Linked DNA regions of Schizosaccharomyces pombe. The gene in region 2 interacts genetically with the main gene of each other region. Each region holds a gene or a part of one and is shown on either strand. Other genes may lie near its edges.

Region 1 (7,960 bases), 1.7 Mb from region 2:
TTTGACGTATTGCACTTTTTTTGGCTTATTGCTGGATCAACATGTATAAGAGTCTATTTAAAGGATTTCCGTTGTAAAAATACAACTTATCACACTCACACGTTGACACTAAGAGAAAAAAGCTATAGCGAACAATGATACACACACATATACATACGCTGTTGCTATTCACATACGCTGCCTTGATACACACTGTCTTGACTATAAGGAAAAAAGGTTTGGCTTGGTCACAAGTAAAATGTAGCGATGACTTTCGTACTCTACTAATGATTGTTTAGTGAAGAATGATAAAAGATAGTAGTGTGTATTGATTATACTTGTATAATGCAGTTGAATTTACTATGAATAATTTGGAAATTTCGCACAACTCGTTGGTCCTCTTAAAAAAGGAGAAATTTCAGTTTGCGAATATTGGTTTCTCTCTCTCTTTACTTTGCTTTGCTTTGATCTGCTCTACTATACTCTACACCCTTGCCTTTCTGCTTTCTTTGTTTGGTTGCAAAATTCACAGATCGCAATGAAAAAATGTTTTAAACTGCGAACTAATAAGTAGAATTGATTTTGCAATGAAAAGTAAAATTAAATTAAATAGAAAAAGAAAATTTTAAAAAGAGACAAAGAAGAGTAAGGAAAAAAAAGCCCCCCCCCCCCCCCCCCCGAAAAAAAAAGAAAAACAATGTATTCATGGTAAAAACAAAAAAAGTTTTTACTCATCATTCATTGTATCGTTGATCAATTAAAGAATACAAAAAAAAAGTAAGCATAAACCCATTTGGAAACATTGCATCAAAGGATTTTTCATTTTCATTTTCATTTTTATTTTGTTTTATTTTATTTTATTTTATTTTTTTGTTTACCATCATTGATGAAACAGACTAATGAAAAAGAAACTCTAGTACATTTTTATTTTTATTTTTATACTATTGAGCTTTAAATATTAGAGTATTTTATTCTATTGAATTTGAATTGAATTTATTTTAATTTTGGTTAAATTAATTGATTTTCTTTTCTTTGAAATTTTTATTTTATTCAATCTTTTTACACTTTCTAACGTACTACCAAAGTCCCTAAATACCGTATCGCCCTTCTACCTAAAATTCTTTCAAAATGACACACTAAACCACAGTATTTGCAAAAGAAATACTCACCCATCCCACTCATTGATTTCAATAATCTTCAATTCTCAAACACAAAACGACATCCTTTCAACTACTTCTAAAAGAATAAATATTTTCCTTTTTTTATACTATTCATCTTATCTAAACTCCTCCTGCATCCATTTCTCTTCTCCATTTTTTACCCATCTCTCACCTAACCTATATATACTTATATGTAAACAAACCTACTACTCTCTATACTTTCCATACCAAATATCCTCAAACATCCACGCAAACCTCCAATCTTTTTAATTATTCAAACTCTTTAATACCATTCCTATCTAAATTTTTTACTTCAAACTTTTTTTTTTTTTTCTCATTTCTTTTCGCTCTATTTCTGTCACCAACTCTCGTTCCCTGCCGGCTCCTTGTGTACACTTTGCCCTACCTGTCCTAACCACCAAACCCTCTATTGTTCGGAAAACAAACACTACACATGCATTGAATGACTCTGCAGTCTACAGATTCCGCTATTGTGATCGATTCTGAAGCTGATGTTGACATTTCAAGCTCACAAGCTTCTCCTTCCAAGGTTTGTCGCGTATTTCCCTTTCTTTCTGTTCGCTTTTTTTTTAACCCTCTTTTTAGGACAATATTGCTTTGTCAGAACACAATGTTATAACTGTTCTTGATACTCCTCAAAGATCTACTCAATGCGATAGTTTGCTAAAAAGTTTCAGGTAAGTTGACAAATATTGTTGCCAGCATTTCCTTCCTTTCCACACTTTTCTTCCACATCTCGCTAATCGTTCATTTGGGGTCAGTACTCCTTTAGTTTCCGGCTCCGAAGATGTTCTCCCTAGTCCCCGTGATGCCCTTAATATCACTAATAAAAAGTCGGTTACCGATAATCTTTTGCTCTCTTTAACTTCTTCAAACCAGTCAACAAACACGAATTTAAATCCTTCTTCACGCGTCGAAATCATTAATTTAAACTCTTCTCCCCCTAATTCCCTTTCCTCGCAACCAAAACACCAAGAATTTCATTTATTCCATACTCCCACCATTCCTAGGACTACACAATTGTCATCGAAAACCTCCTCTCCCATCGTTATTCCCGACGACAATGAACAAGTGGCTTCCCCTTTATCTAAAAAAGCTGCTTCTTTGACTTCTTCACCCTTAAAAGATTTCCAGTCCTCCCCGCCGCTCTCCACAGTCCTTCAAAAATCCCACTCCCTTCACGATATACTACTGGACACGAATGATGACGATCATTTCCCATTTACCCAGAGTCCGCTAACAAAAACAAAATCTTTCAACGATGCACTAACATCCTCATCCTCTATACTAAAGCCATGCATGCCATCCATCGCTAGTCCTACTTCTAATCGATTATCACATGCCCCTTCTACGCCTAATTTATTTCCTAACCAAGACAGCTCCAATACAATCGACCTCATCAATAACCGTTCCAAAACCTCCGTAGAAAATCAAGAAAGAACTTTCAATCTCACATCTGATGTGCACTTAGATAGCCCGACCTCTCCATCCAAGCATTCTTCAATTGAACCCAATACTAGTCAGGAAGATAGTTTTCAAGAACTTCCTTCTCTAAACAAACTTTCCATTCAAAGTAGAGCTTTTAAAAAAATGAGACTACCCAAAATTTCAAGGACTACCGATACGCCTCCTGCCTCTACTTCAAATTCAAATAAAAAAAATTTGGATAAATTAAAAAAAATGAGAAAATTATGCTCTAGGAGCTTGGAACCGTACGAGCTAGACTCTAATACACAACGTAAGAGGAAACGTTACGAAGATTCTTTGAAAAAATCAAAAACTTTAGATAAGGTTGACAGCTTGAATAGAAAGATGGCGAAAGAATTGGACAGAAAGAATTCAAAGGAACTTCAAAAAATTAACAAAGTTAAGAGAACCAAAGAAGAATGCCTATCTGAGATAATTCTTTTATCGCCGGATGATTGGGCTTCATCTTGGTATTCAACTGTTCGCTCTCAATTAGATTCATACAACTGCCAATTCGTTGTCAATTCAAATCAACCAAAAGACTCAATTATGTGGAAAAGGAAGGTAAACAATGTGTTTAATTCTTCTACCAACCGGTTTGAACTTAGCATAGAGCATGAACAAATCGAACCTTTTGCCCTACTACGGTTGAAATGCCGGGATTTTATAAAATACATCGAAGAGGACCAAGCTGATACTTTTTTTCATGAAATGTCTGAAAAGTTTAAAGGCTGTAAGCTAATACTGTTGCTGGAAGGCATCCCAAACTATTTTAAATCTCTGAAAGCAGAATTAAATCGTCAATATGCAGCAGCTGTTAATAGCGGTACCAGACCTTTGTTATTTGGTTCTTTATCAAAATATCAAAACTTTACTAAAGAAAAGTTAGAGAGTGAAATCGTCCGCTTCAGTTTCGAACATAGTATTCTTATAAACACTTCAAATGACGAAAAAGAAACCGCTCAATGGATAGTTTCCTTTACCGGCGACATAGCTTTATCTCGTTACAAGCACTTTTCTAAATTTTCAGCTAGAGCCTCTACTACCGAAATAGGACATGTCAAATCCGCCGATAGAATTGAAAACTCTCTAAATTTTATGTTGCGGCAAATACTACGAGTTACACCTAACATTGCTAACGCCATATGCGATCAATTTGACAGTATACCATCTTTAATTCATCATCTAAAAACTCACGGCGAGGAATCATTAACCAACGTTGTCATCCAATCTAGTATTAGTGAACGAAATTTAGGTCCGGTTTTATCGCGCCGTATATATAACACTTTCTTATGTAAAGAAGCATCCAGTGATGCACCATAGTGATCGGTCATTATTTGTATTTCATTAATTGTTATCATGATATTTTTTCCTTTTTTTTTCTATCTATGAAATTTTCTTATGATATACTTTCTTCTAACTAAAAATTAACTAATATCGGTTTCTAACTAAAGCACCTCATCTTCTATATCGTCGGTAGTATTCGTTCAAACTTTCTAGATCAATCAGATTCCAAACTTTCATCGTACTGGTTCAAGGCACGTCTAATGGCTAACACATTGTCTACAATGACAGCATCAACTCCAAAACGTACTTGGCGTCGGACATTGTCAACATCATTATTGAGAACACCATAGGTGTAGCAAGATAAACCCAATTGTTTAACTGCCTTGATCAGCCTCGGGCACATAATGAGCGGTTCACAAGCACTAACGATACCCAGAAAACTCCACTGTGAGGCAAACTTTAAAGCTTGTCTAAGCGATGCTGCACGAACGTCTGTTCGGTAAGCGGTACCTCCTTCAGTCAAAAAAAGAACAGGATTAGTCGATTTCAAAGAAAGTAAGATGCATATATCAGGATTAAAACTAGAGAAAATATACTTTCTTTTACCACCATACTTTTTGATTATCGATAGAATGGTATCCACGTAAAAGTTATAATCATAAGCTATAGGGAGCAATTTCTCTTCCTCAGCTTCACTTAGCATGGGGTACTTAAATTCCACATTAAGTCCTACGGATTGTGGAACTTCCTTCAAAACATCCTTTAAAGTTGTGAACGGTGCACAAATCGTATGACCAAGGGCATTACCCTTATATACTTTAGGCTTCAAACGTGCGTTTTCTTCAGCAAATTCACCGAAATTAACCTGTGATCCTGAAGGTGTAAATGAGGAACTGTAGGCCCTAGGACGTCTCTTCTGCTGAATGTCACTTGCATCATCTTTAATTTCTTCTGAAGGAGAGTGGGAAGCCCCTAAGAATTGCTCCAAAGTCAGCGAATGCACTTGTGCATCCGTTCCGGTTTCGTTTACGATAAAATCATGGTATACCACTGGGACCATGTCTTTAGTCATTTGCACATCTAATTCAACGTAAGAAGCACCAAGATCTGCCGCTTTTATAAACGATTGTAAAGTGTTCTCGCCAAGTTGAAGACTCAAACGATCAGGCTGATTCTTACCAAGTCCACGATGTCCGATAACCGCAACACCATTCGATTTCCCTGATTCTGATGTAGTTGTGGCAGATTTGTGTAAAGAACGCTCAGCGTCTTCCAATGCAGTGCGACTTACGTTGGAAACTGCTTCCAGCGATAAGGCAGGGGTACTTATGCCATCATTTGACGAAAATCTATCATCAACTGTCACCTTAGAAATAAGAACATCCGCATTAACATGAGCTATTGGTTTAAGAGTTTTACTCGAAAGTAATGGTAAGGGTGCCAAAGGTTTCAACGACTGCATATGATTCCCCAAATCAGATACCAGAGAAGTCAAGCAACATACAGTTCTCCCTAATATTTTATGGGATCGATTTGCTAACAAATCAATTGTAATAGTTGCTTCTTCTGTATTTCTTGTAACGAAAACCAATTCATACGGTGGAGAAGACCCGTTTACAGGTTGCGGACTATTTTCTTGTGCGGCATCATAATGCAAATGAATAGAGTCGTCGGCAATTTCATCAGGCTCCGCCAAATTCTCTAAGCAAACTTCACCGGCATTATCAAAATGGGAGCGAGGGATATCAATAATCACTGAGTTGTTTTGGCTAGAAGATGGTGTCATAGAGCCATTAGAAGCAGTAGTGTCGTTTTTACTCAACGAGTCAGTAGATTGAGACATGAAATCTACTGAAGATGGTCTACTTGCGGCAAAAGATGGAGACCGCCCTGAAACATACACAGCATCATCACCTTGAAGACTAACGCGGATTCTACCGGCCAAATCACTGATTCGAATAATGACCACTGAACGAGATAATTGTAAATCCATGGCACGTTTTCTGCTCCTCATTTCGGAACTTGAGGCTTTGATATAAAGTGTATGTAAATTAACAGGCTTATCACTCAAGGCGACTTGAGTTCTAAGTTTATCTGCTAGGTGTAAATACCCCCGAACCACAGCTTGTTCCATAGCAGTCCAACCTGAAGAATCAACTTCGTCAACCGAAGCGCCCGAGGCAACTAAAATTGAAACAATTTCGGAAAGTCCAGTAGCTGATGCAAGCATCAAAGGAGTCCATGAATTCAAAAAATCCCTTGCGCTAGGGTTTGCTCCAAGTTTGAGTAACATTTTAACACATTCCGGCCTGTTATAACGAACAGCGGTGTGTAAAGCTGTATTGCTACTAGCATCAACTTCGTTAGGATTGAATCCTGCAAGGATGAGTTCTTCTACGATCAAATCGTAATCGCCTACACAGCAAGTCAAGACCAAAGGAGGAACGGGTCCCGGCTTGGTAGAGGTTGTTTCCTTATCCTGAGCAGAAAGCAAAGCATGAAGAGCTTCAACATGATTTCCCTTAATAGCCAAAGTCAAGGGAGTGTCGTGCATTACATCGCGCCAACATGGAAGCATCCAATTCAATGGCTCAGAGTCAGGGATTGATGAAACAATTTCACAAAACTTACTGCACAATCCTGCCCAACCGAGTTTCGCAACAGAGTGCATCACACTCTGTCCCTTGCTATTTCGTTCTACAAGAAGAATCCTTGAAAGTAAACGATTAGAATGGTATGAATCCACATAAACCACTGAACAAATTTGTTTCAACACCTCCAAAAAATATAAAACTCCTTCGTCAGGACCACAGAGGTTGTTAATTGCACGACGTAATGCAGAAGCCAGGCACTCAGAACGTAAACCAATTCTTCCTATAACTTCACGCATACAAGCTTTGGCTCCCGCAATGATGGAGGCAGCCAGTATATCTACGAGTACACTATCAGGTGCATTTATACAAGCGGTCACGACCTCTGCGGCAATATCCAGTTGAATAAAAGCTAAAAGATCCTTCTTCAAGGGATGGTGAATTGACAATTTTTCCAACTTGTCTTTCACTTCACTATCGTTTTGAGAAGAATTCAAAGCCTTCAGGGCAATCATGGACTCATAGATCTTGGACGAATTCGCAAAATCAAGCTTACACACCTTCTGCTCATAAAATGTAACCAAGCGCTCCGTACCAAGGTGCTTATCCATATTGGCAGCTAGCTTTTCAAAGGCCAGCTTATTCCATTCACAAAAGGATGATAATTGTTGAAGACGAAAGTCTAGCTCTTTCAGTTGCTTCGCCTTTTCTTCAGCTTCGTAAGATGAAGACAGTGCCTGTGTAATTTCAGTATTGGGAGATTTCTCCGTAGACAAACGAGTGACATAATTATCAAGCTGGACAATGCGAGTATTGAACAAGTTAACAACCTTCTGAAGATCGTTTTCCAACATTTCGTCGATCGATCCCTTTGGCCATGATCCGTCACTATTACGCCTCAATAATTTCTTCCGTTCATCCTCGGGAAGCGCAGCAACCAGTTGAATCTTTCGCTTTATTCCATTATAATCAACATACTGTTCTGCAAACTCCGGGATCAACGCCAATTGAAGACTGTCGGTTAGCAGACAATGACTAAAGCAAACCAACAATTATAAACTAAGAAAAAGAAAAGTTTAAACAATGGTTAGTCATACGGTTGCAAATGATGAGAATGAAGGGAAAGGAGTTTACTGGCAGATCATCTTAATTAATCCCGTACTCCTATTCAACACAAATGCGTATCCTCAAACATAACCGTTACATTCAAGACATTAAAAGCCTTAACCATAATAAACTTTTTGCAAATATTGCATTCTTTAACGGCTATTTGAAGGTCTAAACAACATTCTAAAATGTGTAAAATATGTCGACCTACCTTTCACCAAACTTCATAATAAAGAGGACTGGGATTCAGGAATTTGAGAGAGATCGAAATTAATGGAGTAATCCAATCGTTCATAAACTACTATTTGGCTAAGGCCAAGTTCAAATACGTGGTAGAATACCACTACT
Region 2 (7,673 bases):
CCACATATCGCATTGATGTAGTTAATCTGTAGTTCGTTATACCGTAGATTATGCCCCCACACAGTACTGATATTGGTACATGCTAGTTGATGAGATCTAAGGAGCTCAGAGTGAAGCTAAACCAAGTGGGGGAGTGTGCGATTTTGAACTAAAGGTGATTTTGATTTTACGATGTTTGGATAATTTGTCAGCTTAACCCCCCAAAAAAATATTCGTTTATAGTAAATACCAGTAAAAAAGGTATAATAGTAAACTGTTTCATTACGTGACAGCAATCATAGCAATCATGGAGCAAGAAATCAAAGTGGTTTAAGAATTTTAATCAATTTTTGAAATGTAAACATCCGGAAAACGCATAGGAGAAGAAGTACTTGAACAAACCTGTTTAACCATCCTATCCTTTTACCAAGTTCTTACCGTGGAGCTCTCATGGAACAAAAAGACTGATGGAGGACGGTAGTGAAAAAAGTACCAAACGACGACGCCGAAGTAGCGATTCTTGGTGGGTTTCATTTCCTCGCCTTGTCGTAAGTATCAACTGAATGGAAGAAATTTGTGCGAATATTTTCGCCTGAATCAGAGTCGTTTAGCCCAAATAGTTGTATTTATAGTCGTAGTCGTAGTTTATGACACCCTGGTAAAATAAAAGGAAATTTTTGGATTAACATGTTTCATTGGAAATTGATGTTATTTGATTTGCGCGCTCTAGTTTATCCGGTGTTGCAAAAATTTCGCTTCCATTCTGTCGGGTTTATTATAAAGAAGGGCATCGCATGTTGCTTATGCATTGTATCGTAGTGTAACGAATTGCTTTCAGGTTTACCCCCAAAGCCGCCTCCACGGGAACGCCCCACGGCAAAACCGCAATCGATGGGGCATGGTGTCATGCCATCCAAGTGGGAAAACAAGGGAGCGCACAATGGAGTCCGAGATGTCAAGAGGCAAGCAAGAGAGGGAAAACAGATGAATATGATATTCATGCGGCCCAGTCCATGGAGAAGCATATAGCATTTTATTTTCTATTTTTTTTTTTTTTTTTTTTTACTTTATTTTTATTATATTTCTGTTTTTTTTTTCTTTAAATCTATTTATTTACTTTTTTTTTGCGCGCAACTGAAATTAGCTTGTAAAATAAATTTGCAAAGATCCATGCGATTTATCAGCAATCTTTTCGTTTCTATCCATCGTTTGACTATATGAATGCATTAACAATATCTCAGCGACCCTATCGCTCTTCTCTATTTTGTTGCGCTACTCTTTGTTTTCATTCTACAGTTTTTGTTAACCTCGTTCTTATTGCTAACCTCACTCATATTGACTGTGTTAAGACATGCCCTTGATGGAACTTGTCGTGCCCTGGTATTGTTACTTCAATGTTAGTCTAGTCAACAGCTGGCAACACATAGCTTCATTGAATCCTGATAAGAAGCCCCTCCTCATCTAAAAAAAAAAAAATTAAAATTAAAACACGCTGAATAGTCAGCGTCTAGCTTTCCTATCCACTATTATCATCGTCGCATACGTCCACACTTGGTTGGGGTATCTAGAATACCAACGAAGAACTGCCTACCTAGAGATAAAGCAACCCAACCTAATTACCTACTTAGTAGCAAAAGTAAATTTAGACTATCACACATTTGAGATAAACTGATTATTTACAATGACACCTTGTTAATTTTAATTACACAACATGCAATCGTAGTAATAGCAATGTATATCTTCAAGGCAACTCGTTATGAAGCTTCATTTCTTTAAACTGATATCCTCGTTCTCTATATCTCTCTCTCTTTCTGTGTGTGTGTGTGTGTGTATCAACTCTCCCTTTGCTTTGCTCATACATGCAAGCGAACACATGAGCACCCATCATACCCAGCCTGCTCTCTCTCTCGCTCTTTACGCGCTCCGAAAATCTCCGTAATTGCAGCAACGATGACTTGCGGTGTCCAGCTTTTCCGGGTTAATTCATGATAAAAAAATGGAAAAAAGGCGATCCCTGGCACTATCTTTAGGCGCCTTTTCCGCCAATCATTCTAGATAAATTATCTTCCATATCATTCATTCGCTCCATGATTGGCCCATACTTCCAATCATCTGTGATATCTTGCATTCTGGACAAGAACCCCCCAATCAAATGCTGCCCATCTATTGCAACCCTTACCCCAAACTCTTTATCTACGCCGGTTTCCTCGTTAACGGAGTGTTGGAGGACGAGGTGCAATTAACCGGTCGTGGTATATAAAGTGAAGGCGCGAGTCACCTTACTCTTCTCCAAATAACATTTTCGAAGCCAAAAAAAAATTTCCACCCTTTTTTGTTTCGTTTCGTTTCGTTTGTTCGGCTTTCTTTCTTCTAGATTTGTAAAGAAAGATTTGATTGTGTAAAACGAAAAAAACGCTGTTATATATTTGCTTTTACTAGTAACATATATAATTCACGCTCCTACACATATTTTATTTTATACATATAAATTTTTTTTGGGGGGTTTTCTTCTTCTCTACACGGTAATTTAGATTAAACTCGGTATAATTGTTGCCTTGGTTTAAAGTTACTTTTTTTTTATTCTTCATTAATATACTTCGTTCGATATCCTTATCTCGGTTTTTCGATCGTTGACAAATTTTGTTAATCCTGGTTTACAGTAATCGATCTATTGTTTTGTAACGGGGTTTTCTTCTGTTGCTAGTTTTCAAATTTCCGTTCTCTAGACTTTCGTTTTTTTTTATCTTTTGTTTTTCTACCTTTTTTTTCCCTTTTACTTTCAATATGTCTCAATACGACGTTGAACCTCTTCTCTCCAAGGCTGCTATTTTAAACAAGTATGCCGATCTTCCTCAAAATGGTAAGGTTATGGCTGAGTACATCTGGATCGATGGTTTCAACCATCTTCGTAGCAAGACCATGACTCTCGATGCCAAGCCTTCCTCTATTGACCAATTGCGCGTTTGGAACTTTGACGGCTCTTCCACCGGTCAGGCCCCCGGCAACAATTCTGACACTCTTTTGAAGCCTGTTGCCATGTACAATGATCCCTTCCGTCGCGGTGACAACATTCTCGTTCTCGCTGCTTGCTACACCGCTGATGGCTCTCCCAACGGCTTCAACCATCGTGACGCTTGCGCCAAGTTGTTGGAGAAGCACGCTGACAAAGAAACTTGGTTTGGTATTGAACAAGAATATACCATGTTGGACTACTATGACCGTCCCTTTGGCTGGCCTAAGGGTGGTTTCCCTGGTCCTCAAGGTCCTTTCTACTGCGGTGTTGGTACTGGCCGCGTCTTTGCTCGTGACATCGTTGAGGCCCATTACAAGGCTTGTCTTTACGCTGGTATCAACATTTCCGGTATCAATGCTGAGGTTATGCCTTCCCAATGGGAATACCAAGTCGGCCCTTGCGCTGGTATTGAAATGGGTGACCAACTCTGGATGTCTCGTTTCCTTCTTCACCGCATTGCCGAAGATTTTGGTGTCAAAATCTCCTTCCACCCCAAGCCAATTTTGGGTGACTGGAATGGTGCTGGTTGCCACACTAACGTTTCTACTAAGGACACTCGTGCTGAAGGTGGTATAAAAGCTATTGAGTCTTATCTCGAGAAGTTTGCCAAACGCCATAAGGAGCACATTGCTGTTTATGGTGACGACAACGACTTGCGTCTTACCGGTCGTCATGAAACTGGTTCAATCGATAAGTTCACTTATGGTGTTGCCGATCGTGGTGCATCCGTTCGTATCCCCCGTTCTGTCGCCATGAATGGTTGCGGCTACTTTGAGGATCGTCGTCCTGCTTCTTCCATCGATCCTTACCTCGTCACTGGTATCATCACTGAGACCATGTTTGAGCATTAGACAATTTTCCCTCATAATTTAACGTGCAGGTCACGTCGACCACCCAGTTATTAACCATTTTGAAATATGTGTTTAAGTTTTTATAATATCACGTTTTTGTTTGTAGGACTTAATGAGTTTGTTGTGTAGTAATTTTGTTTATCAGCTTCACTTTTTTGTGATGTTTATCTTTTTTTAGAATATTTCATATGATGCATTCGTTGCAGTCATTTTTTTAAAGTATCACCATTTATCAACTGAGCTTGTTGCTCACCTTCTTATAATGATCAAGAGTGTTTTCATTGCGTATGTGAGGCTTTGATACAACCTTGGATTGTTCTTTTCTTGATATTCTTATACTAATATTAATGTTTCTCTTGTTTTTTTTTACCCAAGCTGTCCCTAAGTACAAGTACTTTACGAATCAGTTTGTCAACAACCCTGTTAATTTTTTTAAGTATTTTACAGTATTCACACAAGATTACGAATTTTTGAAATAAAACGATAGCTTATTCTAGACATGCAAAAATATATCTTTTTTGGTTGGTTACTTGTAAATTATCAATTGTGAATAATTAATGCATCTTTATTGTAAAGCTGATTCCATCCATGAAATCCATTCTTCAATGTTCGACATTTTTGCAACGCTGCCAGGAAGGAATTTAAGATCAGTATCTTCAATCTGATCTGCAACTGATTCCCAATCGACATCTTCAGAGACTATAGATTCGAGTTGAAGATTTTTCTCTTCCAAAATATTGTGCAGTTCAGCTTTTAACAATTGTTGAATTTTTTCCGCAGGTTGAGCAGTAAAAAGATCAAATTTATTACAGGCAATTAATAGATGAGGGACATGATGCTTGCGACATTTTAAAATTGTGTCAAACAACATCAATCCAACCTCGTGCACATCCCTGTCAATTGTAGCACTGTTGAGAACGAAAACTACAGCTTTTACATTATAATTTCCAGAGAATTTAGTAGTAATCCAACGTTTGGCCCTGGGATGCCCTGGAAGATCTACTAACCAAGCACCATATTTCCACACAGCTTCATTAGGTTCAATGCTAGGAACTGTAGTTTTCTTTTCTTTATAAATTAGCTATATAACAGTTAATAAGTATTCAAAGATTGTATATTATTGTTATACCTCACAAAACAAAGACGTTTTTCCAGAATCGCTAGGTCCAATTAAAAACACTGCTGGTAACTTCTTTTGAATTGTCTTTCTAGTAAAAAAAATTCCTAGGGTAGATATAATAGCTCCTATAATTATTGTAGCTACAATAATTTTAAAAGCTTGAGAAGTTCCATCCATATGCTGTTGTTGGTACCAGTTGGGTGTGTAGAAGATATATGTCAAATGTTACAAAGACCTCATTTTCATACGATCGTTGATTAAGATATATTTTTCAGAAGAGAGAAATAAATGTGAAAAAAAAAAAAAAAAAAAAAAGCATCCAAACTAGTTCTCGAAGTTTTGTTTAAAAAAGACAATTCTCGTACAGATTGCAGCAGTAGAGATTGACTGTACCCTCTTTTGAATTTAATTAAAACAATACAAAATACATTTTTCCTGAATGTATTACATGAGATAATTGCTTGATTAGACCAATCTTTGTTAATCGTCAAAGTATACATTTATATCATCGGTTCTTTTGAGTGGAATTAATTGTTGTGGGGCATCTTTAAGTTGTGAATTTGTGTAATTAGACTTATTGAATATTTTTGCTTCATTGTTTGCTCAACATTATTTATTATAGAAAAGTTCTTTTTGTTAAGTGATGACAATGATATAAATAATGAACTTCACGATTTTTTATTTTAAAATAATAAAACTATAGAATATTTTACATTTTGAAAGATAAGATTGCGTTGTTGTAATACTACTTCAATCCAAGTTATACTGAAGTTGCTGTCTTTCAGTCGAAGAGCTACTTTTATATCTACCTTTTTTACATTGCAGACTTGCCATCCCCCAACCGTAGATTTTGCTGGTTATATTAATTCCTTTTTTAAAGAGTCGTCTAACTCTCGTTATTAAATTGTGATACGAAGATGCCTCTTCCAGTACTTCGAGTTAAGCGTAAAGCTTCAGAAGATCCTGTTAACGCCCTATGTACGACCAAGCTTCTAAGTAAACTTTCTTTATCTAACTCCTTAATAATTTAGATTTGGAACTTGGAAACAATCCAAATTCTGTTTCAAGTACGAAAAGAAGGAAATTCGCCGGACGATATTGTATGCTACTTCTTGAGCTTTTGTGTTGGAATATTACACAAGGACTAATCATTTGAAAAACACAATTACCTTTTATTGACAGTTTCTAGATTTTAAACTATCACAAACGCTGAAGCAAGATGATCGGTATATTCAGATAAATGATGAATCTTCGGAACCCACTCATGAAGACGTTCGAAATATCCACAGTCATACAAAAATATCATCTCTAAAAAAGAACAATTACGGAATCCCTGTCGTCCAAACTTCTGAAGACGTTGTGAAAGCACCTACGCACATGGACTTGGGATCCCGTGAAAATACAAAAGGTATTCTTTCTTTCTCATCCCCACGCTATACAATTCAGAATTTACCTTCTACTCAAAGTAATAGAGTGTTCGACGCTATCCGTGTCGAACAAGGGTATGTCAACATCAAATAGAGTCAATTACTTAGTTCTGTTGTTATAAGAACTGGCTCTTGGCTTTTTTTACCTTAACTAACATTCATAGACATACTACGTATCATCCGCATCCTCAGCTAGATTCTATGATTCAAGAATATTTGTCAAATGGAGACCTTCCTCTTCAGCAATCTACGGAAGACTACGTATACGATATTTATGAAGCATCTAGCAAAGAACCAAACAAGCCAACGTTTGCTTATGGTGTAATTGATGCTTTGTCCATCCCAGACGCTTTTCGTTCTTCATTAGAACAGGAACTAGTCTCCGAGACAGTGGACTCTGATAAAGATGATCCATTACATGATGAAATTGATGAGGATTCAAACGCTGAAAGCTTCTATCAAAATAGCTATCCCGATGAAGACGAATGGCAAGATAGCAGTGAAAATGATGAATTTGCTTACTCCGATGATGCTGAGCAAGACTTTTATGATTAGATGTTTGCTACTTAAAAAAACGAACAAAATGGAAATCGGTTACAGTTTAATAGGTGAATGATATTATTTGGAGAAATTTATATCAGGAATTTAGTAAATTGTTCTATTGTATTTTTTAAAAACTCATACATTATATTGTGTCTGGGTAATATGTGTAAATTTTAATAGCATTACTATTTAGTTATATCATAGGATTCAATATGAGCCATGTTATTCATGAGTTTGGAGTCCACAATTTTGTGACTTGCAAAATCCTAGCACCAAGTTCTTGAATTTGTAGCCAGATTTAGCTACATCATAGACAATATGTCGACTAAAGAAGCAACTTCAGAGACTGCTGTCGATTATTCTTTGAGTAATCCTGAAACCGTCAATAAATATAAAATTGCAGGCGAAGTTTCTCAAAATGTTATTAAAAAAGTGGTAGAATTATGCCAACCTGGAGCCAAAATATACGATATTTGCGTTCGTGGTGATGAACTATTGAACGAAGCTATCAAGAAAGTATATCGTACCAAGGATGCTTATAAAGGTATTGCTTTCCCTACCGCTGTATCTCCTAATGATATGGCTGCTCATTTATCTCCTTTAAAAAGTGATCCCGAAGCCAATCTCGCTTTGAAATCGGGTGATGTTGTAAAAATTCTTTTGGGTGCTCATATTGATGGATTTGCTTCCTTGGTCGCTACTACAACTGTAGTTTCTGAAGAACCAGTTACTGGTCCTGC
Region 3 (7,344 bases), 910 kb from region 2:
GAAATTACGAGTTCCACCAAACCACATGCGCAGAACGCGGTCCCTACTTTCCATCCAGAATATGGTCGTTATATGTTGGAAAGTACACCAGGTGCGCCTTATGGTTCCACTTTAAAGGATTTTACTTTTGTAGAGTACAATATGCGATTAAGAAGAAAAATTATTGAAAACCATTTACTACCCAATGAGCTACCTTTAACAATTACTAATTTCTTTCGTCTTGGAACACCAGGCTTTACGGATCCAGAAGTCGAAGCCAATGGTGCAATTTCGCGATCTTTTTTCTTACCGGACGATGTTATCAACACACATGTTCGTTTCCCGACCTTGACTGCTAATATTCGTCAAAGGCGCGGGAGAAAAGTGGCCATGAATGTTCCGATTTTCTTCGATAAAAATACAATTAAACCATTTCACGATCCTACCGTTCCTTGGGATAGAAATTTGTTTCCTGAAGATGCAAATGCACGAGATGGTGCAGCGTTAGACAATCATATTTACATGGACAGTATGGGTTTCGGTATGGGATGCTGTTGTCTACAAATTACATTCCAAGCTAAAAGTTGTGATGAAGCTAGACTTTTATACGATCAGTTGACTCCTATTACCCCCTTGATGCTGGCATTATCTGCCGGAACTCCAGCATTTCGAGGCTATTTGGCTGATCAAGATTGTAGATGGAATGTGATTGCTGGTGCTGTCGATGATCGAACCGAGGAAGAAATGAAAACTGTGCCAAAATCAAGGTATGATTCTGTTGACTTATATATCTCGAATGACAAGCGCAATTTACCGGAATATAATGACGTCCCGGTCGTTATAAATCAAGATTGCTACGATAAGCTAATAAAAGATTGCATTGATGAAAGATTGGCTAAGCACATGGCTCACATATTCTCTCGTGATCCTTTGGTTATTTTCAGTGACAGCATTTTACAAGACAACAGTGTATCCAATGCTCATTTTGAGAACCTAAACTCAACTAACTGGCAATCTATGCGCTTTAAACCTCCTCCACCAGGTAGTGATATTGGTTGGCGTGTAGAATTTAGATCAATGGAAATTCAAATAACTGATTTTGAAAATGCGGCATATTCAATTTTTGTTGTGATGCTTTCTCGTGCAATTCTATCCTTCAATTTGAATCTGTACATGCCGATATCGCTAGTGGATGAAAACATGAAAGCTGCTCATGCTCGTGATGCCATTCATCGTAAAAAGTTTTGGTTCCGTTGCAATCCATTTCCTGACGCAAGTACTGATGATGAATCTGGTCAGTTCCGTCAACTTACAATTGACGAGTTATTTAATGGTGAGCACCGTGAAAACGGATTCCCAGGTTTAATTACCATTGTTCGAAGCTATTTATACTCTTGTAATCCTGATGCCAAAACTATTTGCCTAATTGAACGTTATATTCGCCTAATTTCTCAAAGAGCAAATGGCCAATGCTTGACTGCTGCTTCGTGGATACGCAATTTCATTACAACTCATCCTTCTTATAAGCAAGACAGCGTGGTCAACGACGAAATTAATTATGATTTAATTAGAAGAATAGCAAAAATTGTAGATGGCGACTACGACGATACGTTACTTGGAAAATGCTCATAATGCAGATGAATTCTGAGTGGAATATATATAAGATTTTTTTCTACTTAATAACATATCTAAAATTTTGGTAATTTAAATTCCTTTGCAATTCAGTATTACAAGTGTAGTTCTTTGGCAACTGAGACTTCCCATTGATTCCTTTCATTAAGTGAATACTCATTATTTAATTAGTGCTAATATATATTCAGTAACTACATAGTTGATTTTCTGTATTGCCCCACCCTTCCCTATTGTTATGTGTATACGCAGGTAGGGTGAGCGAACGCAATGCATGCACCCTTTTAAGAGTCCGCGCTACGCATTTTAACTGCCTTTTGCTGTAATGGCTCCACGTTCTTCCGCAGTACATGTTGCCGTTTATTCTGGGGTTGAAGTCTATGAATGCTTTATTAAAGGTGTCTCTGTGATGCGCAGACGCCGCGATTCCTGGTTGAATGCTACACAAATCTTGAAAGTGGCTGACTTTGACAAACCACAAAGGACAAGGGTTTTAGAAAGACAAGTACAGATTGGTGCGCATGAAAAAGTACAAGGTGGATATGGAAAATATCAGGGTAAGTTGTCTACTGTTACGCGTTGTGACATGATTTGCTATCTTTGAACAACGCGAACAATTGAGTGTTTACTAAGCCAAATCGAGGTATTTTAATACCTTTTTGTATTAAATATCTCTATGGACGCGTCCTCTAAATGATTGACGGTATTAACCAAACTATAGGAACTTGGGTTCCATTTCAGCGTGGGGTCGACCTGGCCACAAAGTATAAGGTTGACGGAATAATGAGCCCAATATTGAGTCTTGACATTGATGAGGGAAAAGCAATTGCTCCAAAGAAGAAGCAGACCAAGCAGAAAAAGCCTTCTGTACGTGGCCGTAGAGGCCGTAAACCGTCGTCACTTTCTAGTAGCACTTTGCATTCCGTCAATGAAAAACAACCGAATTCTTCTATATCACCAACAATTGAGTCATCTATGAATAAAGTGAATTTGCCTGGTGCAGAGGAGCAAGTTTCTGCAACACCTCTGCCAGCGTCTCCTAATGCACTGCTATCACCAAATGATAACACTATAAAACCTGTTGAAGAGTTAGGCATGTTGGAGGCACCGCTTGACAAATATGAAGAGTCACTACTTGACTTCTTTCTTCACCCAGAAGAGGGACGCATTCCTTCCTTCCTGTATTCGCCGCCCCCGGATTTTCAAGTTAACAGTGTTATTGATGATGATGGCCACACTTCTCTTCATTGGGCATGCTCAATGGGACATATAGAGATGATTAAGTTATTACTGAGAGCCAATGCTGACATTGGCGTGTGTAACAGACTGAGTCAAACACCATTGATGAGGAGTGTTATCTTTACCAATAATTATGACTGCCAAACTTTTGGACAAGTGCTTGAGCTTCTCCAGTCTACTATTTATGCTGTTGACACCAATGGTCAGTCAATTTTTCATCATATTGTGCAATCAACCTCAACTCCTTCAAAAGTTGCAGCGGCCAAATACTATTTGGATTGCATATTAGAGAAACTAATATCGATTCAACCATTTGAAAATGTTGTGAGATTGGTAAATCTACAAGATTCAAATGGAGATACCTCTCTATTAATTGCTGCTCGAAATGGAGCCATGGATTGTGTAAACTCTTTATTAAGTTATAACGCCAATCCTTCTATTCCTAACCGACAAAGACGTACAGCTTCCGAGTATCTTTTGGAAGCTGACAAAAAGCCACATTCATTGTTACAGTCAAACTCAAATGCTTCGCATAGTGCTTTTTCATTTTCCGGAATAAGCCCTGCTATTATCTCGCCATCATGCTCATCGCATGCTTTTGTTAAGGCAATTCCTTCAATATCTTCGAAATTTTCTCAATTAGCAGAGGAGTATGAATCTCAGCTTCGAGAAAAAGAAGAAGATTTGATTAGAGCGAATCGTCTCAAGCAAGACACGCTTAATGAAATTTCCAGAACTTATCAGGAATTGACCTTTCTGCAGAAAAATAACCCCACTTATAGTCAATCTATGGAAAACTTGATTCGAGAGGCCCAAGAAACTTACCAGCAGCTTTCGAAGAGGTTACTAATATGGTTGGAAGCACGACAAATCTTTGATTTAGAGAGAAGCCTCAAGCCACATACTTCATTATCTATTAGTTTTCCTTCCGACTTTTTAAAAAAGGAAGACGGACTTTCGTTAAATAACGATTTTAAAAAGCCGGCTTGCAACAACGTGACCAATTCTGATGAATATGAGCAATTAATTAATAAGTTAACTTCTCTCCAAGCTTCCCGCAAAAAAGATACTTTGTATATTAGAAAATTGTATGAAGAACTAGGAATTGATGATACAGTTAATAGTTACCGTCGTCTTATTGCAATGAGTTGTGGCATCAACCCTGAAGATTTGAGTTTGGAAATACTCGATGCTGTGGAAGAAGCATTAACCCGAGAAAAATGAATCTTGGAAACTTTCATTTACATCTTGTCTTAATGTTACGTTCTTTATTTAATGATACGAGTTATGATAGTTAATGATTTTATCCATGACACTCACTGTCAAACTGCATTTATCAACGTTATCATACTTTGATAGAAAAACACGAGTTATTTTATATATTATTTTCGAATGGAATCAAGTGGAAAAAACATATATTGCTCCTTCCTAACAAAACTATTATGTTACTTATTTATGCGCAGCTAAAACAATCTACTATTGTAAAATGATTTATCTCATTTACAGCGCGTGCTTCCATTCATGATTCATCCTTTTTGCATTCGCACGTTAATGATCATCTAAAGGATACCAAGTTACTGAGCTTCACTTTAATTTGAGGGTCCTGTTCAAATAGGTAAAAGAGTGATTAATACAAATAATCAATTATTTAATTGAAAGAAAATCTATAGCAGTATTTCTCGTAAATACGATATAAAAATATGTAACCTATAAACGCAGAAATCGCGTTTTTTTGAATACATTTATTATGTTTACTTAGCATACATAAATTTAATAACGCTGTTGGAATACACAATTTGAATTAACGTACTGGTTTAACTAGAGGACGTTAGTGCAGCCTTTCCCCAGCAGCTACCATACTTACTTTAGTCGTGTATATGTATAATTGAAAATTTCAACAATCTTTTATTTTTGTTCCTTCGTTGAAATATCTACTAAAATATTTTAACTTTGATAATTAAGTATTGCATAAGGAAATGGATGCGTTGAAACTTTTGACAACTAATGTCAAATTTAAGAATAAAGTACCTCAACCTTCTATAAAAGAAAAAGAAGCAAAAAAATTACAAGGTATTACTAAGGGAAAAGCTAAAGTTACTGGTAATAATCCTGTTGATCCAATTGAAGAGTTTCCGGAAGGAATACTTTGTGAAAACTTAAAAAAACAAAACATAACAGAATGTACCACAATTCAAAGATATGCCATTCCAACGATAGGTTCTAAACGAGACCTATTGGCATGTGCACCAACTGGTTCTGGAAAAACTATTGCATATCTATTCCCAATTTTGCAAAAACTTCAGTTACATGTTCCGGGTGGATATAGAGCGATTATCGTAGCGCCGACTAGAGAACTGTGCGAGCAAATATATAGACAGGCAGAAAAGCTGTCTTTTGGAACTTCATTGAAGATAATTGAATTAAGTAAATCTAATGAAAAAATTCAAGAAAAAGCGCCCAAGCTCCGGGAAAAGTATGACATGTGCATAGGCACCCCGATGAGATTAGTACAAGCAATACAAACCGGATTGTCCTTTGAAAAAGTAGAATTCTTTGTTATGGATGAAGCTGATAGACTTTTTGAGCCTGGCTTTATTGAACAAACTGATCATATTCTAAGTGCATGCACCAGCTCTAATATTTGTAAAAGCCTTTTTTCCGCTACTATTCCATCACGCGTCGAAGAGTTAGCTAAAGTCGTAACGGTTGATCCGATTCGAATCATCGTTGGTTTGAAAGATGCAGCCACGGATAGCATCGATCAGAGACTCTTGTTTGTTGGTTCGGATACTTCCAAAATTGTGATTTTGCGTCAAATGATTTCAAATGGAGAGTTAAAGCCTCGAGTCGTAATATTTGTTCAAGATATAGAAAGAGCGAAAGCATTGTACACAGAACTCTTATTTGATGAAATTCACGTTGGTGTCATTCATGGAGAATTACCACAAGCCAAGCGCGAAGAAGCACTTGCGAAATTTCGGAAGGGTGAAATTTGGGTTTTAATAGCAACAGATCTTCTTGCTCGTGGTATCGATTTTCATGGTGTAAAGATGGTCATCAACTTTGACTTTCCTCAAAGTGTTCATAGTTATATTCATCGTATCGGTCGAACTGGGCGTGCAGGAAATACAGGACAGGCCGTTACTTTTTTTACAAAGGAAGATGGTGAATATATCAAGCTTATTGCTGGTGTAATGCGTTCATCAGGTTGCGAGGTTCCAAACTGGGTTATGGCACTTCCTAAACCTAGTAAAGAAATGAAAAAGAAGTTGAAGAAGAGTCCTCCTAAAAGAAAGAGGATTACTACTAGAGCTTCTTACGACAGACAAAAGGAACAGCGTAAGAAGGAGTATATTAAGAAGGTAAAAAAAGAAGCCTCTATCAAAAAGCATAATGAAGCTACTGGAGACAGTGGACAATAGATTGTTGCTACTGAAAGTATTTATATAAAGGGTTTTGGGTTTTAGTTTAGTTTTTGTGTTCATTTAAAAAAGTCATATTCACTCCAAAATACTATTGCTTTGATATAATAGAGCCTTATATTTTTTAGCAATCATATTATTTTCTTTTACTTTTATTTGTGGTAAGAAACTTTTATGTTACTGTGGTACCTGACATATCTAACTTTACATCTTTTGTTTAACAATAATGCAGCAAGTGCTGTACGGCTTTTTAAAACTGATAAAAATCTACACGAGTACAATTAATGTAGGCGTAAACAGGTACAAGGAGATTATTTTATTTTAAGTACCCAACAGGGTTTTTGCAATTGTTATTTTAACTACAATTTGAAAGCTATATTACGTTGCTGACACTGTTTTATAATTTCTCGTTTTCGAAATCACGAGTGTGTTTCAGTAAATATTATATTGTTTTAACTTACTTTATATTGTGTATCATTGAAATTACCTATGAACGGAGAAAAATTGGTGTTACTTAATTGGTATATGGGAGTAGAAACTTCATCACAACCTTAACTTACCGAATCCCATCTCTTTCCAATTCAGGCTATTTCGAAGTATAATGTTTTCCACAAGTCGAATTATCTCTCGTATTAATTACAATTTTTTAAGGAAGAGTCACTACTCTACTAAAACAGTTGCTGAACAAGCCAAGGGTCGTTTCACTCCCTTAATCCAAAAATTATCGGGTATTTTAAACATAACGGTTAATTTGTTTAACTAACTTTTTCAATTTAGCTGTACAACAACCTATTATGTACTGGGCAAATGTTTCGAAAGAGCTGGTTCAACAAGTATATCATTCTCAAAAAATTGCACCCCCTTCCAATACTCATGTAAGCAACTATTTGCTACAAAGAACAGATCCACTAATTTCTCTTTTAGTCTCCCTTCCTTTTTTGGAAAAGTCAATCCTCTGAAGCATGGGGCCGCAATTTTTTCATCGCAGTTGAAATAGTTGGTATTTTCTGCGCTGGCCAGATGGTTGGTCGTAGAAAAATTACTCCATATCATTAAAAAGATGAATTTAATCTTT

The links. A genetic interaction does not mean that the proteins touch.
Region 1: mutations in iwr1 (region 2) and eme1 together harm fitness less than expected from each alone (positive genetic interaction), as found in Schizosaccharomyces pombe (2 studies listed by BioGRID).
Region 3: mutations in iwr1 (region 2) and res2 together harm fitness less than expected from each alone (positive genetic interaction), as found in Schizosaccharomyces pombe (2 studies listed by BioGRID).

What each region holds. Positions count from the first base shown.
Region 1 is NC_003424.3:3,293,510-3,301,469, reverse strand, and holds eme1 (Holliday junction resolvase subunit Eme1), read left to right. Parts: upstream 1-1,556; 5' UTR 1,557-1,602; coding exon 1,603-1,689; exon of another isoform or gene 1,690-1,745; coding exon 1,746-1,837; exon of another isoform or gene 1,838-1,921; coding exon 1,922-3,950; 3' UTR 3,951-4,128; downstream 4,129-7,960. Other genes in the region: glycerophosphoryl diester phosphodiesterase Gde1, read right to left, coding at 4,129-7,519, 7,824-7,840. UniProt on the Schizosaccharomyces pombe protein: Interacts with mus81 to form a DNA structure-specific endonuclease with substrate preference for branched DNA structures with a 5'-end at the branch nick. Typical substrates include 3'-flap structures, D-loops, replication forks and nicked Holliday junctions.
Region 2 is NC_003424.3:1,592,662-1,600,334, reverse strand, and holds iwr1 (RNA polymerase II nuclear import protein Iwr1), read left to right. Parts: upstream 1-5,795; 5' UTR 5,796-5,880; coding exon 5,881-5,941; intron 5,942-5,994; coding exon 5,995-6,063; intron 6,064-6,152; coding exon 6,153-6,465; intron 6,466-6,554; coding exon 6,555-6,945; 3' UTR 6,946-7,033; downstream 7,034-7,673. Other genes in the region: SPOM_SPAC23H4.05C (uncharacterized protein), read right to left, coding at 711-1,004; glutamate-ammonia ligase Gln1, read left to right, coding at 2,764-3,843; signal recognition particle receptor beta subunit Srp102, read right to left, coding at 4,409-4,924, 4,973-5,140; peptidase family curved DNA-binding protein Cdb4, read left to right, coding at 7,252-7,673. UniProt on the Schizosaccharomyces pombe protein: Directs RNA polymerase II nuclear import.
Region 3 is NC_003424.3:684,660-692,003, forward strand, and holds res2 (MBF transcription factor complex subunit Res2), read left to right. Parts: upstream 1-1,875; 5' UTR 1,876-1,933; coding exon 1,934-2,165; exon of another isoform or gene 2,166-2,329; coding exon 2,330-4,071; 3' UTR 4,072-4,520; downstream 4,521-7,344. Other genes in the region: glutamate-cysteine ligase Gcs1, read left to right, coding at 1-1,611; ATP-dependent RNA helicase Rok1, read left to right, coding at 4,824-6,269; atp20 (F0-ATPase subunit G), read left to right, coding at 6,871-6,997, 7,047-7,144, 7,194-7,325.